Linked DNA regions of Lonchura striata. The protein of the gene in region 2 purifies or fractionates together with the protein of the main gene of each other region. This does not show direct contact. Links are inferred from orthologs where the notes say so. Each region holds a gene or a part of one and is shown on either strand. Other genes may lie near its edges.

Region 1 (5,367 bases), on a different chromosome or scaffold from region 2:
TCGCAATGAGCCTGTAGACATTCCGAGGGGCAATGTCCTTGATGAGGCACTGGCACAGCAGGTCTGCAGCGCTGTTGGAAGGGGCACAGGCCAAGATACGGGCATCCTTGAAGCATGTCCACACCTGGGTGGGAGGAGGAGATGACGGCATTGAACCTCACGGATGAGAACGGGCAGCAATGCTCAGGGCTGGATTTGGGCACCGGCCACTCACCTGCTTGATGGCCTCCACCATAGTGACCGTCTTGCCAGTGCCAGGGGGTCCAAAGATGAGGTACGGGGCTGGCCGGGACACCCCCGTCACGATGTGGGTCACAGCTCTGCACTGCTCCTCGTTGGTCTCCAGCTTGCGGTTAAACCACCTGTGGGAGCAGAGGCTGCACTGCCGGGGCCCCACCGCCTCCACCTCCAGGCCCTCCCTCCCTGCAGAACTGGGCACTCACCGGGGCTGGAAGGGGCCCGAGAAGAGGGACTTGTGGCAGGAGGTGGAGGGGAAGAGGAGGCTGAACAAGCCACGGCGCACGGCCAGGACTGCAGCCCGGTGCTGCACCTGCAGTGGCAGCCGGTTGAAGGTGAAGGTCACATCGAACTTCAGGTTTTTCACAAACTTCTTCTGCAGCCTGGGAAGGAATGGTGTGAGCATGGCACGGGGCACTCTCTCATGCCCTCCTAGCCCTTTCCAACCCACTCCTGGCCTTTGGCATCTGTGAGAAAGGCTGCTGGGACCAGACATCACTCACTTGGAGGAGAAACCCAGCCTGACCTTCTCCAGTTCCACGCTGTGCACGTAGCCCTTATACCGGACGAGTGGGGAGTGGTCCCGCTTGCTGCTCAGGTGGGCAAAGAGGTGGTCCCCTCTCAGCAGGGACGGGCGGTTCTCGGCCACGCCAGGCACCTGTGCCAAAGGACCAGTGTGATGCCAGGCACTCTGGGAGTGCCAGTGTTGTGCCAGCACCCCTCCTATCCCTCAGCCCCCTACGCACATCGAGAACCAGCAGAGCTCTCTCCTGCACCATGGTCACATCCCGCATGTCGTAGCGTCGGATGTCCACCTCCATCTGAATCTCCTCCAGGTACAGCAGCAGCTGGAATTTCTGCTGGTAGTTCTCAGCCTGCAGAGGTGCTTCCAGCAGCGAGCTGAGGGCAGCAGCAATGTCATTGTGTCTCAGGGGCAGCTTGGCACTCAAGGAACACCTCAGCATTGCTCTCTGCCCTTGGCACTCACCACAAGGCAGCCCAGCTGGAGCTGGCACTGGTGTTGGGTCCGAGCAGGATCATGTCCTTGAGGCTCTTTGGGTACCTGTAGGTACCCAGAGGGATTTCCGTCTCCAGTTCATTTTTCAGGGAGCTGTGTGGAGGGTACAGTTGTGCTTCAGGGACTACATAGTGCCCCCAGCCCCAGTGTCACTGTCACTGCACAGGGTTGAAGCACGATCCTGTGGTGCCAGACAGTCAAGGAGCGAACCTTGTCCTGGCTGAAGAACAGCCTGGGCCCCTCTGCTCGGGATGGCAGCATGTGACTTCATCACATACCTGTCAGGGGGGATGCCATCCTCAGTGATGACTGTGACAAAGCTTTGGAGGCTGGCCTCGTAAGGCTGGAAAGGTGCCGAGGGCCCCAGGTCCTTGGCCAGCTGGCTCTCAGCAATGGCAGCAACATAGCGTGAGATGCTGAAGGACTCGCCTGGTTCCTTGGTGAACTCGAAGACCACCAGAGCACTGAAGTGCCCGTTGCAGGTGGTGAGGCACCGCACCTGGATGGGGTACATCCCACCTGCGGGGTGAAGTGGTGAGATTGGGTCCTGCATCCTCTCTGCAGGGCAGGGCACGGGGAAGGGGATGGGAAGGGGCCCTACCTGGGTGTAACAGCAGGGACTGGCCCTGCACTGCCCCCTGCTCATCGGTGAAGGACAGCTCCCGTGACTGCTTGTGTAGCTGGAACCGCTGCAGGGTCACCACCTCGCTTCCACAGTTCTGCACCAGGATGGTGACTGTCCGGGGCTCACCCGGCACCACTGGGAAGCGGATATTCCCGTTGCCCTGGTCACAGTCTGAGGTGATCTCCACCCCGTGCTTCTCACGAATGCGCTTGGCCCTGTGGGGAGGGAGGGTCAGGCTTTCCCAGCTGGGCTGGGGGATCCAAGGGACATGCCACGGTGGGGTGGTGCTGGTCATACCACTGCTTGCCATGGCTCTCGGGCATTTGTGGAGTGGAGCTGAGCTGCTGTCCTGAGGCAGACGTGGACACGGATGTCTGTGCATTCCTTCTGGTTCGTCGGTACTGGTCTGCCACCACCAGGCGCCTTTTCACCTGCAAGGAGCAGCCAGACCCAGCGTGGCCCCAGGATTCTGCAGGGGGCTCCTGAGGAGCCAGTCCTGGTGGGCACTGCCCCAGCATGAACTCACCTTGAATTTCACCACCTCTCCATGCACCTGAATCTGCTGGGTTGTCTTCAGTGCGTACAAGATGCAGGAAAATCTGGGTGTCTTTGCATCAGTCCTGTGGAGACAAGGGACAGGGTTTCTGTGGGAGTGTGGCTTGGCTGCCATGGGCACAGAAACCCAAGGTGAGGCAAGTGAGAAGATGAAGTAGGACACCGAGGCTGCAGTGAGGGAGTTCTCAGCAAGTCCCCTCTGCTCCAGGAGAGGAAGAAGGACTTGGGCTTCCCACTGGCCTGTGCAAACCTCACATCCCTGCTGGCTGCTCCAGCAAGTCCGAGCTGTGCCATTGTTGTCTCAGCTATGCCACAGCCATCCCAGCTGTCCCACTGCCTGGCCTGACAGCCATGCAGTCTCTGTCCATGCAGTTGAGCTGGCACAGGTGGTGGCTCTGCTAAGGCACAGCCACTGTTCTCCCAGCACTGACTCCCCAGGTTCCTCCTCCCAGTCCTACCAGTGCACTGAGCCCTGGCTTTGCCAATGATCGTGCAATGTCACAGTGGTGACAGTGCATAAGGGCCAGTGTGATTGGTGCCAGCAAGGTGAGGTCGGGGTGGGCAGGGGGTGTCCAAGGCCATCCCTAGGCAGTTGCTGGGGGCCCACGGAGCTGGGGATCATCCCAGCAGGGTTTGGTGAGACAGACGAGCTTGGAGACCCCGGTGATGCTGGCCAGGCACTGGGGATGCTGGCCTGGGATCTGTCCCAGGTGATGTCGCCCGGATCTGGCCGAGGGCTCTCACCTGGCCCGGAACTCCTGGTTGTAGATGGTCCGCAGCGTTTCCCGCAGGCTCCTCTGCTCCCGGCCCGTGTCCTGCAGGAACTGCACGAACTGATTCCCCCAAAGGCTGCCCTCCGCCACGCTGCACCGCGGCATGGTTGAGCCGCGCCGCGCCGCGCCGCGCCGGTACCGCATCCAGCAGTGCCCGGTTGACCCGGACTGGACCGGTCTGGGCTGGGCTGGGCTGGGTCGCACAGGGAGAACGAAAGCAAAAGAAGCCGGGACCCGCCCACCTGGCCCGGGCGCACCGGGGGCCGGCAGCGGGGCTCAGAGGGCTGGAGGGGGAGAGGGGAACCAGTCGGTCTGAAGGATGATTACCTGAAGATTTGGAGAAGGACAAAGAGATAGAAACGCTCCTAAGGCTGGAACGCTGGCGGTGGAGTGCTTCCAGTGTAACCAAGGAGCAGACAGACTAGCCTTGAGGCAGATAAAAGCTGTGCTGTGTGCAGAGTCTTATCTTGGGCCCTGCTTCGGCTTCACATTCTTGGAATTACTACAGCGATTTCCTGGATGCGTCCAGGGCCGCAGCCCACAGCACCTGAGGCTCACACAACCTTTCATCTCTCCTGGGTGCTGCCTCTTGAACTGTCCATGGGTCTGCCCTGTGCAAACCCTCCAAAAAGCCCTGCTTTGTCCCATGTAGGATACAACCTGGAGTGTATGAAGTAGGTGTTAAAGAAAGACACCGAGGGTAAGTGGAATAACCTCCTTGCTGCCTTTTTTCCAGGGTGAGGAGCTGCATTAAAGCTCTGTGATAGTTTCTATTTTAGTTTGGAAGCTCAGCCCTCCAGGTCCTGTGTCTGTATACTAGGACGGGAGCACCACCCATGGGTTTGGAGTGATACCATCCCTGCCTTAATAACGGAACTGTTAAGGTTGGAAAAAAACTTTGAAATCATTGAAAACCAACCATCAACCCAGCACCACCGTGTTCACCACTAAACCAGGTCCTCAAGTGCCACATTCACATTTTTGAACACTTCCAGGGATGGCGATGCCAACACTTCCCAGACTTCAGGAATTAACAAGAGTGAGACCATGAAAGAACAGACACAAATGGCTTTAAACAAAGACTGGTGTATTTGCACTAGACTTATTGATACAGAGCATGCCTGAGGGGTGAATTGTCAGTCTGAGCAGCAAATACAAATATATTTTAATTAGATAAAACTCACAAAGGATAAAAACTTATTTTGTGGTGTTACTGTGCAAAACCTAAAGTGTAACTCACAGACAACTCCGTCCCAATCTTCCCAACCGTTTTTCCTTTGTGTATTTAAAAACAAGAAAACATGAGCCACTTTAAAAAACAGAATCTGTAAGGCGCCCAGTGATAACCAAGTGCAAACAAAGCAAAGGGAGTTCACTTTGTAGTGAATCTATGTTCCAAGATCTGAGAAAGGCGTATGCCTATCTCTTCGTCCTCCCCTCCAGAGAAACTGTTATGACTGCTAATTTTGATGTTAGAGGGGGAAAACAGTAATGCAGAGCAAGCACACAGAACAGATTCATTCCGAAATCCCCTCTAAGCATGACAAGAAACTGTCCACAACTGAGACAAATGGAAAAGATTTTTAATTTCACTTTGGTGCAAGTTTATTTATTTTGTACACTATCCATCCATACACCTGTGATACAAATCTATGAACCTGCCACAAAGCATTAAAGCACAACATACCTATTATTTTGTAGACATTTGCATTTTTAGTCACCATCCAGCCCTTGTGAATCAGCAGTGACTTATCTTGCAGTTCTGTAAAAATGCAGATGTCTGGTAACCGTACATACACGAGGGAGGGGAGAAGAAAGATGTTCACTTTTAGAGAACATGGCTCAAATCTTCAGATTAAAAAAAAGTTACGTCCCTGGAAGAGCTGGGTCAGTAGGGAATTCTGTAAAGGATCCTGTAAACTCATTTTCTACAGCAAAATCTAAGCCTGCAGGCATCTGCTTTGTGGAGGCTGGGAATAAGAACACACGAGAACTCACTGTCTTGCACTTACTTTGTCTTGCAGCGCCATGAGCTCTTGGCAGGTTTAACAGACTTACTGGATACCTGGAGTGCTGGATACCGGTGAAGGAAACGCTCTGCACCCTCTCGTGGGGTAATAATAGGGCTTTTCCAGCTAGGAAGTTTTCCAGCCAGTGAC
Region 2 (5,367 bases):
GAGTCCCGGATCAGTGCTGACAGAATATTCCCCTCTCACTCCTGCTCCCAGCTCCCACACCCAGCCGGGCCAGCAGCAGAGCCCCAGGTGAGCACACCTGCAGCCTCCTCACCCAGCTCTGCTTGCAAGTGCTGCATTTCAAGCTGCAACAAGAGCTGTAATTGCACTTTAACTCCAGCAGGTATTCTGCCAGAGAAGTCCTGCGAGAGGCTTCAGCACCAGCCTGCTGACAGAGTCACCCCCAGCTCAGGGGATCCCCCAAACCCCACAATTCTGGGGTGGGGTGGCAAAGGTGTGTGACTTTCCCCTCGGGGCTCTGCTGGGACTGCGGGGTGAGGGAGATTCGCTTTTTTCGCGTTCCCTTTCCCGAGGAGGAAGCCGAGGAAAGCCTCGCCCCTGGGAGGGAGCAGCGAGGGCTGGTGTGGCCCGGACAGAACAGCCTTTGTTAGCAGAGCAACGAAAGGAAAGCCAGCCCCGGCGTGCTGAGCCACCCGGGAGCCCGGCTCGCCCACACCGAGCTCCCAGCAGCGAGAATTCCACAGAATTCCCGGCTGCTCTGGGCTGGGAAGGGACCCCAAAGCCCGGCCAGGGCACCTTCCTCGCTCCCACGGTGCTCCTTGGGCAGCTCGGCGATCCACAGCTGCTCTGGTTTAAATTCCTCTGAAAACACTTCCGAAAATTCTTATGTTGATTTAATTCTAGCAAACAATGGGAATAGAATTTTCTGTAGAAAATGTTTGTGCTCTACTCCTACTTTCGACCATTGGCCGCTAATCAAGTGTAACACTATTAATTAAATATATTGGGAAAGGAAGTTTTTCCCTAAAAAATGAAGTGCCCTGCATGGCTCAACTCATCTTTTTAAAAAGACCCCAGAAACAGCAGAGCAAAAGTTTCCACCTCCAATATTCCTCAGCTCCAAATACAATTATTTACTTAATTAGCTTTAATTATAATCACAGGGCTAATATTTCATTAAGCAAAACCTGATCAATTGGAGAAGTCATTATTTAAGATGCCTCCTGCCAAAAAGAATAACAAACTTCAATCATCTAGCGAGGGCAGCAAAACTTCTGCCCAGAAGTTTTAAAAAACCCCAGATTTTGTGATTTTATCAGCCCTGAGCCCATTGAGAGGGGCAGGTCTGAGCAGATCCTGGGCTTTGTTTTACTTCACCCAGGAGGAAACGGGGCCTGCTCCTCCTCTGAGAGTCCCTCCCCAAAAATGACATTTCTAACATCAAAATGAGCAGCAGGATGACCGCAAAAGTTTGCAGAAACTCAAAACCACCCTGAGTTTTTAAAAAAATCAACCCAAAATCCCTTCCTTTTAGCCAGGAGACAAAACCAGTACCTGAAGGTGCTCTCCAGAGATTTTTTTTTTTTTACTTTGACCTCAAAGGTTTTTCAAACATGTTTAGACAAAAAAAAAGGCCAATTAATTATCCTCTTGCCTGGACTTTCAGCTTATGAGGCTGATTTTGGGGTGGTTTTTCTTCTCCTTGGCCACAAATTCCCTACTGGGAGCTCTGGAGTGATCACAACCCATTAAAGGTTTAAAATTAAATGTGATTAAAATTCTCTTTTAATGTACACAGAGATTTTACTGCTGGCAGAAAATAATTCTGATCTCTCAATGCCCAAAAACTGGATCAATTCTACCAAATCCAAGAGCTGCAAATGAACAGAAAATAACCCAAGAGCTCTGACTCACAGTGACCTGAGCACACCCCTGCAGTCACCGAGCACTTTCAGGCAGAAAAACTGATTTAATTTGTGCTGGGATAAACCCCCAGCACAGGAGAAAGCCTCGCTCAGCCCTGCCCTGCACACCTGTGGAGCTGGATGTGCTCCCTGCTCCCATTCTGCTGCACTCACACACCCACCTGGGGCAGCTCCTGCAAGGAAAAGGACAAAAACCAGGCCCAGGATGTTTGGTTTGGGCATAAAAAACTCACCTAAAACTCTCAATTCCTTTTTACACTCATCCCTTAACACGTGGGTGATGTACAAGCATGTAATGGTTAATAATGGGATTTCTGTGAGGGACCTGAATATTCCACGATCTTCAAACTGGAGAAAAGTGTGGCTTTTTTAGAAATACCGGAGAGTTCTTTGGAGTTTTTGTTGTTTACTACGGGCACACTGAGATTGTTATCTTCATTTGCTGCACTTCTTGTCAGCTGCAATCCTAATTCCTCCCCTGCCTACGAGTTGTGAATTGCTAAATAAATACAATTTCATTCTCTTCTAGGCATCAACTGCAATAATAAAAAAAAACAAAACAAAATAAAACTAAAACCTGTTGTTAAACCACTAAGAACCAGAGCTCAGAACTTGTCCCTACCACACAATCCCCAAACAAACCCAACAGCTGCGTAGCGACAAAGTGGAAACTGAAATTTTAAAAAAAAAAAAAAAAATCAACATTCACAGTAATAACAAGCAGAAATTCAAGCGTTATTTTAGCGAGGGGAAGTAAAGAAGAAGCAAAGAATTTCGTCAGCGCCCAACTTTGGATAACAAACACCAGCGAAAGCTGATTGTTTTAAGGAGAAAGAACCCGAATTTCACCCCGCCTCGGTGGTTTTTTCTTTCCCTCCTCCCCATCGCAACGCCACAACTATCGCGACTCGGCCGCAAGTTTCCTGCCGGCACCAATCCCGGTGGAATCCCGGTGCAATCCCGGCGCAATCCCGGCGCAATCCCGGCTCCCGGGGCCGGGCTCCCCCCGGGGCACCGACCCCCGCTCCTCCGCCGCTCACCTGCGCTTCCAGCGGGCCCGGCGCTCCCTGCCCCGCGCCGGGGGCGCCCTGGCCCTGCGCCGGCCCCGCCTGGCCCGGCCCGGGCGGGGTCTGCGTCTGGCTGGGGAGGGTGAAGTCGGTGAACTCGAACTCGGAGCCCTGCGTGTCGGCGCCGAGCAGCTCGGCCTCCTCGGTGTCCAGGAAGGTGAGGGTCTGCGAGCTGGGGCCGTACGCCTCCACGCTCATGGCGGCGTTCTGCTGCGGGCCGGGAGGATCCGTCCTCCCCACCCTCACCCCGCCCCCGCCGCGGCAGCCGCGGGCTTCCCCCTCAGCGAGCCCGGGCGGCCGCGCTACGCGAGCGGCGGGATGCGCCGCGCGCACCAGGCCGCGCGCCCCAACCCACACGCACAAACGAACCCGCCGCCGCCGCCGGCTCGCCGGGCGGCCCCGGAGCTAACGGGCGGGAGAAGGGAGCGGAGCGGGCCCGGGAGTGCGGCCGGGCTCGGTCGCTCGGTCGGTCGGTCGGTCGGTCGGTCCGTGCGGCCGCGGCCGCCGCGCGCCAGGCCCGTGAGCGGTGACGCGGAGCGCGCGCGCGCGCGGGGGGGCGGGGGGGGGAGGACGCGCCGGCGGCAGCGCGCGCGCGCGCGGGGGGGGTGGGGGGCGTGACGCACGCGCAGCACGCACCGGGGAGGGGAGGCGCGGCGCGGCGCGGCCGCCAGGGGGCGCGCTGCGCGCCCACGCAGCCCGCACGGGGAGGGGGCGGGGCTTGGCGCTGAGTGACGGGTGTGGCGGCCAATGGGATGGTGAGGTGAGAGGGAGGGCGGGAGGGAGCGGCGCGCGGAGGGAAGGGGCGGGGTTTGGCGGTGAGTGACGGGTGCGGCGGCCAATGGGAGATCGAGATGAGGGGCGGGGGCTGAGGGGGTGGAGAGGTCACTGTGAGGGGATGGGGTGGCTGGGCACCCGTGAGGGGTCACTGTGAGAGGATGGAGTGGCACTGGGCACTTGTGAGGGGTCACTGAGGGGATGGACAGGTCACTCTGAGGGGATGGGGTGGCACTGGGCACTTGTGAGGGGTCACTGAGGGGATGGACAGGTCACTCTGAGGGGATGGACAAGTCACTGTGAGGGGATGGACAGGTCACTGTGAGGGGATGGAGTGGCACTGGGCACTCGTGAGGGGTCACTCTGAGGGGATGGACAGGTCACTGTGAGGGGATGGACAGGTCACTGTGAGGAGATGGGGTGGCACTGGGCACTCGTGAGGGGTCACTGTGAGGGGATGGGGTGGCACTGGGCACCCGTGAGGGGTCACTGAGGGGATGGACAGGTCACTGAGGGGATGGGGTGGTCACTCTGAGGGGATGGGGTGGCTGGGCACTCGTGAGGGGTCACTGAGGGGATGGACAGGTCACTGTGAGGGGATGGGGTGGCACTGGGCATTCCTGAGGGGTCACTGAGTGGATGGACAGGTCACTCTGAGGGGATGGACAGGTCACTGTGAGGGGATGGGGTGGTCACTCTGAGGGGATGGGGTGACACTGGGCACTCGTGAGGGGTCACTGTGAGGGGATGGGGTGGCTGGGCACTCGTGAGGGGTCACTGTGAGAGGATGGAGTGGCACTGGGCACTCCTGAGGGGTCACTGTGAGGGGATGGGGTGGTCACTCTGAGGGGATGGGGTGGCACTGGGCACTCGTGAGGGGTCACTGAGGGGATGGACAGGTCACTGTGAGGGGATGGACAGGTCACTGTGAGGAGATGGGGTGACACTGGGCGCTCGTGAGGGGTCACTGAGGGGATGAGGTGGCACTGGGCGCTCGTGAGGGGTCACTGAGGGGATGGGGTGGCACTGGGCGCTCGTGAGCTGTCACTCTGAGGGGACGTGGTGACACAGGGCACTCTGAGGCCACGGGGACACTGTGGTGACAATGGGGTCACCTGTGCCCACCATAAGCTGCCAGCTCTGCCTGTTCCCTTGGAGCTGGCGGGAGGGACACGGGGTTAAGTGGGAATTAAGGAGCGGGAATTACATTAATTCCTGCTCCAGCTGTAATTCCTGTCCCACCTGTAATACCCCACAGCTCTGAGTGAAGGCTGAGCTGCTCTGGGCGTGCTGCACTGGGCATTCTCTGAGCTCAGGGCCGTGCAGAGAACATTTCTACCTTGAAATAAACCAAAAACTTAGAATTTACCCTCATTCCATTCGATCAGAACACAATAAATCCCTTCTTAGTGTTGGGAAAGGCTGGATATTCAGTGCCTTTTCCCGTCCACATTGAGATGCAAATATGTATCTTCTCTTATAAATAACTTGGATTTTATATTCTTGCTTTTGGTGTAGGATAAAGCCCAGCCTGAAACAACATGTACCAGATCTGCGGCTGCTGGGCTGAAAAGATGGAGATTGGAAAACATCCTTGTCCTGGGAATATTGTGCAGCAAAAGGATGGGAAAAAACCAAATCCAGGGAGCACAGGAGTCTCCACTTCTGCAGAGAGACTGAGTTCAACTTCCTTTGAAGCAGAATAAACTGTTCAGACCAAAGCATAACGGGGAGAAGCATAAAATAACATTTGAAGATGAAAGTGGAGCCGGAGCGGGGGGAAAAAATTATAGTACAAAGCC
Region 3 (5,367 bases), on a different chromosome or scaffold from region 2:
AAAACAAATCACTTTCTCTCTGCCATTCTCACAAAGTTCTGGGGCACTAGACAGAGCAACAGGTATTAGGAGACATGTCCCAGTTGCATCTGATCTTTATAAAGGTCAGATATCAATTTTTCAGGCTGTTGCACTAAAAGGCTATTGTACTTTGCACTACTTTGTACTAAAAGGACACAGGAGATATCCTAGGAGTGAGGAATTCTGGTGGTTTCTGAAGTGTGGAATGAATGTTGAGGACTAGAACACTGAAAAAGAACATATAATACTGAGAATCAAAGCTGCCATGCTGGGATTTCAAATGACTGCTTCTGGCCATGTGCCCTATCCTATCCCTCTGAATCCAGCAACCTCTGCCGAGCTTCCAGAACGATCTCCTCTGTCACCTCTGGTTTGAGAATGTCCTTGATCTGCAGTGGAAAGAAAAGCAATATGAGCACCAGGAACCAACAACTACACTTCTGCACTCTGTGGGGAGACAAAGGTCCCTGACACATGACAGCAACCAGCAAGGGAGTTTAGAGGGTTGGTGAAAAAAGACCTAAGGCAGAGGGTCCAAGGCATAATTAATTTTACCAGTTGAGGATTCTGACAGAGACCAGAGGAAATCAAAGGAGAGGCTACTAACCCTCCTTATCTTCCCTGAAGGACACACACTGTATTTGGGAAGGGCAGAGTTATACTTCAAAAGAATACCTCACTAGAATTAAAGCAGAATTCAGATCTCATTTACTTATGGGAAGAGAATTGCCCGTGATTGTGCTGGCAGGAATCACAGTGAAAAGCTGTACAGCCAGAGGTCAAATGGAGGTAGTCTTCCAGAGTGCAGGATGTGGATACAGTCATGAGCCTGCTCTCTGTACAATACATGACATTTACTTTTTCATTGCTTCATAAAATGCACTGTGCCCTCATACAATGCCAAATTTAAAACTGTTTCCACAGGAATTAAAGGGTCCATAATCCCAGCAAGGGATACACAACATCTATCAAAAACGGAACTGATCTCTCTTTAAGAACAGTTAGTCTTTGCCAGAGGCAGAACCTTAAAATTGTGCAATCAACTTATGTTGTGCAGAAGAGGAGAGTTCATACTGTCGCTTACTACAGGGTGCTTTGGTAAGTTGAAAGGAAACTCTGACTTCAGCAGCAACTGATGCAGCCTTTCTGTTCCCTCCCCTCAGTGTGGAATAAACACTACTGGTTCCTGTACCTGATGAGGAAGGGATGCTTCATAGCAATATAGGATGCTGGTGTCAAAGAGCATAATCTTGTGAGTAACCAGAGCCATGATGCAGTTTCGGAGCCGTGAGATCACCTCCCGGTCAGACAAGGGAACTGGCTGAGGAAGGACAGAGGAAAAGGGATGAATGCACAGGGAAATAATGCAAGTAAAAAAGCCTTGCTGTGAACCTAACACAAGATCCTGAAAGTCTCGGGTTCCTCACGTGCCTCTGACTATGTCAGACTAAAAACCATCACTGGCAGAAGAAGGCTCACGTTCCCTGGACGCTCACCTCCAAGTTGGCCGTGTAGCCTCCGGCCTCGTCATCCTTCTGCTCCGGGGTTGGGTAGATCCAGATGAAGCCATTGTTGCCGAGGATCACGGATGCCCCACAGGGCAGGTCATGGAAATGAGTCTTCTGGCGTTTCACAAGGGAGGGAGAGACCTGAACCAGCACACCCTGGGCAAGCTGGAGAGCAGACCACGAGGCTCAGTGTGAGAGATATCATGAACCACCACAGATAACACCAAGTCACTGATACACACTCACTCCATTCCTGGCCTAGGAATAACACTGTTTTAACATCTTTTCCTGTGAAACAGTGAATATAAAACCTGCCTGCCTCTGGCAGCGCTGGGAGGATTAGCTAATTGCCTGCACAGCCCTTTGAAGATGAAGAATACTCTAAGTGCTTAGCACAAATGTTAATAATATCTTGATTGTAACTACACATCAACCATCCCTGCAGAAAAATGAGGAGTCAGAGGCCCAATTTAGCAGAACACTTTCTCTGGTAATCCAATCACTGTCCTTCACCCTTTGTGCAATAAGCACACTTCCCTTTCATCTTTTAAGTGTTAATACCTTTGGTCTGGTAATCCCAAACTGCAACCTACGCTCCAATGGCCCCTTGGCTTATTTCAATGCACAAAACCAGAGATAAATGCCAACTGTGTAAAGCCTAAAATAGAGCCCTGGGGAGAGGAACAAGTCACAGGGGCAACAGCCAGCAGAAAGGAGTGAGGAGATCTCTCCCCAGGATTGAATTCCTAAGTGGCTAGTGGGGGGAAACAGAATAGCAGGCTGAAACTGTGGATGGGGAGAGCAGTGGATCAAAGGGCAACTCAAGGACACCTCCTCTGTTTTGGGGAAACTTTTCTTGGTGGTCCCGTGGAAGAGCTGAGAGTCTTCCTGTCCTGCAGGAATGGGTTATAACAACATCCTGCTCTACTCAGAGCTCTTTTCTTTAAAAAGCCTTGTACAAGTCAGCTGGTGCAGATTTTTCCCAGGATCAAGGGCTTTGGAATAACTCACCTTCCCATACTTCAGGCTCCGGGTGTGCAGCGATACAGCCCCATCAGAAAATATAGACTGGACCTCTGCCTGTCGGTGCCACTTAAGGAAACAGAGTCCCTAAGGCTGCCCAGTGCCACCCCAGCATAGCTCTCACCCCCAGCCAAGCTCTCCCTGTTCTTCCCATGCCCTTGGCTCTTCTGTCAATGGGAGCAGCAGGATACACTGATGAGATCCCCTTCCTGCAGGTAGTCCCTCATTGCAAGCTCATCTTCTGCTGATTTCCTTCTCTGAAACATCACAAGAAAAGTTACACGTATCCCAGAACGAGGAAATATCCATCAGTAGCTCATTGTGGGGGCCCTTAAGATGCCACACAAAACACAACCAGCTACACTCACCAGCTCCCCACCAGGTAAATTTATAGACGACAGCAACAGGACTGAATCCAGCCTGGAATTTATTTCCACTTTCCATCGCTTCTGCTGAACCTAAAGGGGAAAAAGCCACCAAAACTTATGGGTACACAATCAAAAACTGCACTGAGCTGCAGGAGGGAAAGCTCTGCTGGCTTCTTCCAGCCTCATTCCAGTAAAAATCCACACGTTCCCAGCACCCTGTGCACGGACACTGATGCGTGTCAGTGTTTTAGGCTCCCGGGAAGCGCTTAGAGTCGGACTGATCCACGACCACGCTCCTCCTCCTGCACAAACACGGGGCTTTACCTCGGTGATCCTGCCGACCACGACGTCGCCGATCTCGCCGTTGTACCTGGGGCAGAGAGCGGCGGTCACACCCCACACCCCACACCTCACACCCCTCACCTCACACCCCACACCTCACACCCCACACCTCACACCCCTTACCTCACTCCCCACACCTCACACCCCACACCCCTCACCTCACAGCGGGCCTCGCCGCCGCGCTCACCTGCCCTTCAGCGCCCTCACACACACCAGCTTGTTCACCCTCTCCACCACGCCGGCCACCGAGGCGATCAGCTTGTCGTCCTCCACATAAGTACCGTGGCCCCTGCGGAGAGACGGCGGCTACCTAAGGACAGCCCGAAGCCGCGCCGCCCCGCCGCCTCCCCTCCGCCGCTGCCCGCACCTCATGTATCCCGTGTCCGTGGTGATCGTGTCCCCCGGTGCCACCAGGTGCTTCTCGCCGCTCCGGGGCGCGCTGGAATCCAGGGGCGCTCGGGCCGCCGGCAGCCTCATGGTGACCGCCGCCATCTTGGCCCCGCCGTACGCGCCTTCCGCCCGCCATGTTGGCTGCTGGCGAAAGCGCGCCTGAGGGCGCGGGCGCCGCCATCTTGAGTGAGGGCGGCAGGGGCGGTGACTGGGCAGCCATGTTTGTTTCTGGCAGCGAGGGGCCTGTTGGGCTTCGTTCCGGTGGAGCCCAAAGGGAACCGCGGCCATCTTTAGTGAGGGCACCCCGGGCAGTGACCCTCTCCCTCAGAACCCTCCTGGCGAACGCGGGGAACGCCACGGGGCTCTCCCGGGGCTCACCCCCGGTTCGGGTGCCCCTCACACAAGGTGTCCCGCTGAGGGCCATCCTCTGACGCCCTCCCCAGCTGGCCGCTGCTCACTCTGGGCTTAAACATCCCCGTGGATGAGCCCTTCCCCTCGGCCGAGCTGTGCCAGCACGAACTGATACGTCCGTGGAAAAGTTTAATCCATTCAAGCACCGTTAGAGTCTCAGGGCTGCGATGGCCATCAGCAAATAATGTCGCTTCCTTCCAGCAGGGCTTACACCTGTATGCCACACCCATATCCCGCCTGTATCACAGCCGAAATATGGGCGCTAATTCACGGGATGCATCAAACGATGTCCAGTGGCTGTGGCTTCAAAGAGGAGCTGTAAAAGTTCACAAGAATAGGGACTGGCAGGGTAGAATCATACCCACTCTGGAGTGAGCCAGCCCTTACCCCAGCTTCCAGACCTGAAAAAGGGCTTCTTTAGCCAAAACCTGGTTTTTTTCCCCTCCCAGGTGTATTCTTGGTCCAACAGATGACACCGCATCTCCTCACTCACACATTGTTGTGGCAGTTGAGACCTTCATTCATCCCAACACCCACATCCTTCCCCTGGCACATAAAATAAAGCTCTCCATGCAATCCCTCTTCTAAATGATAAATGTTCCAAGTAATTTTTATTTAGAATACAAGAGAGGTACAAATGTATTTACACTGTGTACATATACAATCAAATAATATATAATATCAAAGTCTTGTAAATAATGTTTACATAAATATTTACAAAGTTAAAGTGACAGTTGTTTGGGGGTGGGTTTTTTTTTTTTTCTTTTGTTTTTGTTTATTTTCTTCTGGAAGTGAAACACATTTGTGAGAACTTTATACATCTTAGACTTATAATTAATATTAGAATACCTTCTTTTAAGATTTATGATACACAGCCCTCCTCCGCTGTGTGGGGACTCCAGAGGGCGCTTAGAGTTGTCCTTGGGGACAGAGCTGGCCCGGGGACAGGTTTTCTCTGTCCCCAGAGGGCAGTAGCAATTCCAACCAGAATGTTCCCTCACAGCTGGGAAAGGGATGGGGAGAAGAGCCCGGCAGAGCTCAGGTTCCCCGCAGAACCTGCCTGTGGATGGGCATTCCCAGCTGGCACCGTGTCCCCTCTGCCCACAGCACGGCTTGGAGCGGTGACAGACCCCAGGGCACGGCTCTGGCTGGAGCAGGGCGGGCACGGGGGGCTCAGGTGCAGGAAAATGCGAATGTTCACTAACTCGGGGCTCCCAAAGAGGGAAAGGTGTCCCTTGGAAGGAGCCACCAGGACCAAAGTCACTCCCAGGGCAAATAGGTGTGACTGGGGGGGCCACATCAGG

Evidence for each region. Proteins that work in one complex are often made in the same cells at the same time.
Region 1: the proteins of UPF1 (region 2) and MOV10 purify together in Homo sapiens (affinity purification with mass spectrometry; 3 studies listed by BioGRID and IntAct, with this or other methods). This does not show direct contact. The link is inferred for Lonchura striata from reciprocal best matches to the Homo sapiens genes UPF1 and MOV10.
Region 3: the proteins of UPF1 (region 2) and EXOSC2 purify together in Homo sapiens (affinity purification with western blotting; 3 studies listed by BioGRID and IntAct, with this or other methods). This does not show direct contact. The link is inferred for Lonchura striata from reciprocal best matches to the Homo sapiens genes UPF1 and EXOSC2.

What each region holds. Positions count from the first base shown.
Region 1 is NC_134632.1:5,825,194-5,830,560, reverse strand, and holds the start of MOV10 (helicase MOV-10), read right to left. Parts: upstream 3,361-5,367; 5' UTR 3,353-3,360; coding exon 3,180-3,352; intron 2,501-3,179; coding exon 2,407-2,500; intron 2,312-2,406; coding exon 2,178-2,311; intron 2,096-2,177; coding exon 1,857-2,095; intron 1,775-1,856; coding exon 1,534-1,774; intron 1,349-1,533; coding exon 1,226-1,348; intron 1,138-1,225; coding exon 984-1,137; intron 896-983; coding exon 741-895; intron 621-740; coding exon 444-620; intron 363-443; coding exon 215-362; intron 125-214; coding exon 1-124.
Region 2 is NC_134630.1:7,317,953-7,323,319, reverse strand, and holds the start of UPF1 (regulator of nonsense transcripts 1), read right to left. Parts: upstream 3,061-5,367; 5' UTR 2,990-3,060; coding exon 2,765-2,989; intron 1-2,764. UniProt on the Homo sapiens protein: RNA-dependent helicase required for nonsense-mediated decay (NMD) of aberrant mRNAs containing premature stop codons and modulates the expression level of normal mRNAs.
Region 3 is NW_027461138.1:113,129-118,495, reverse strand, and holds the start of EXOSC2 (exosome complex component RRP4), read right to left. Parts: upstream 3,836-5,367; 5' UTR 3,755-3,835; coding exon 3,630-3,754; intron 3,552-3,629; coding exon 3,450-3,551; intron 3,291-3,449; coding exon 3,245-3,290; intron 3,011-3,244; coding exon 2,921-3,010; intron 2,810-2,920; coding exon 2,744-2,809; intron 2,610-2,743; coding exon 2,541-2,609; intron 1,695-2,540; coding exon 1,518-1,694; intron 1,343-1,517; coding exon 1,214-1,342; intron 411-1,213; coding exon 330-410; 3' UTR 1-329. UniProt on the Homo sapiens protein: Non-catalytic component of the RNA exosome complex which has 3'->5' exoribonuclease activity and participates in a multitude of cellular RNA processing and degradation events.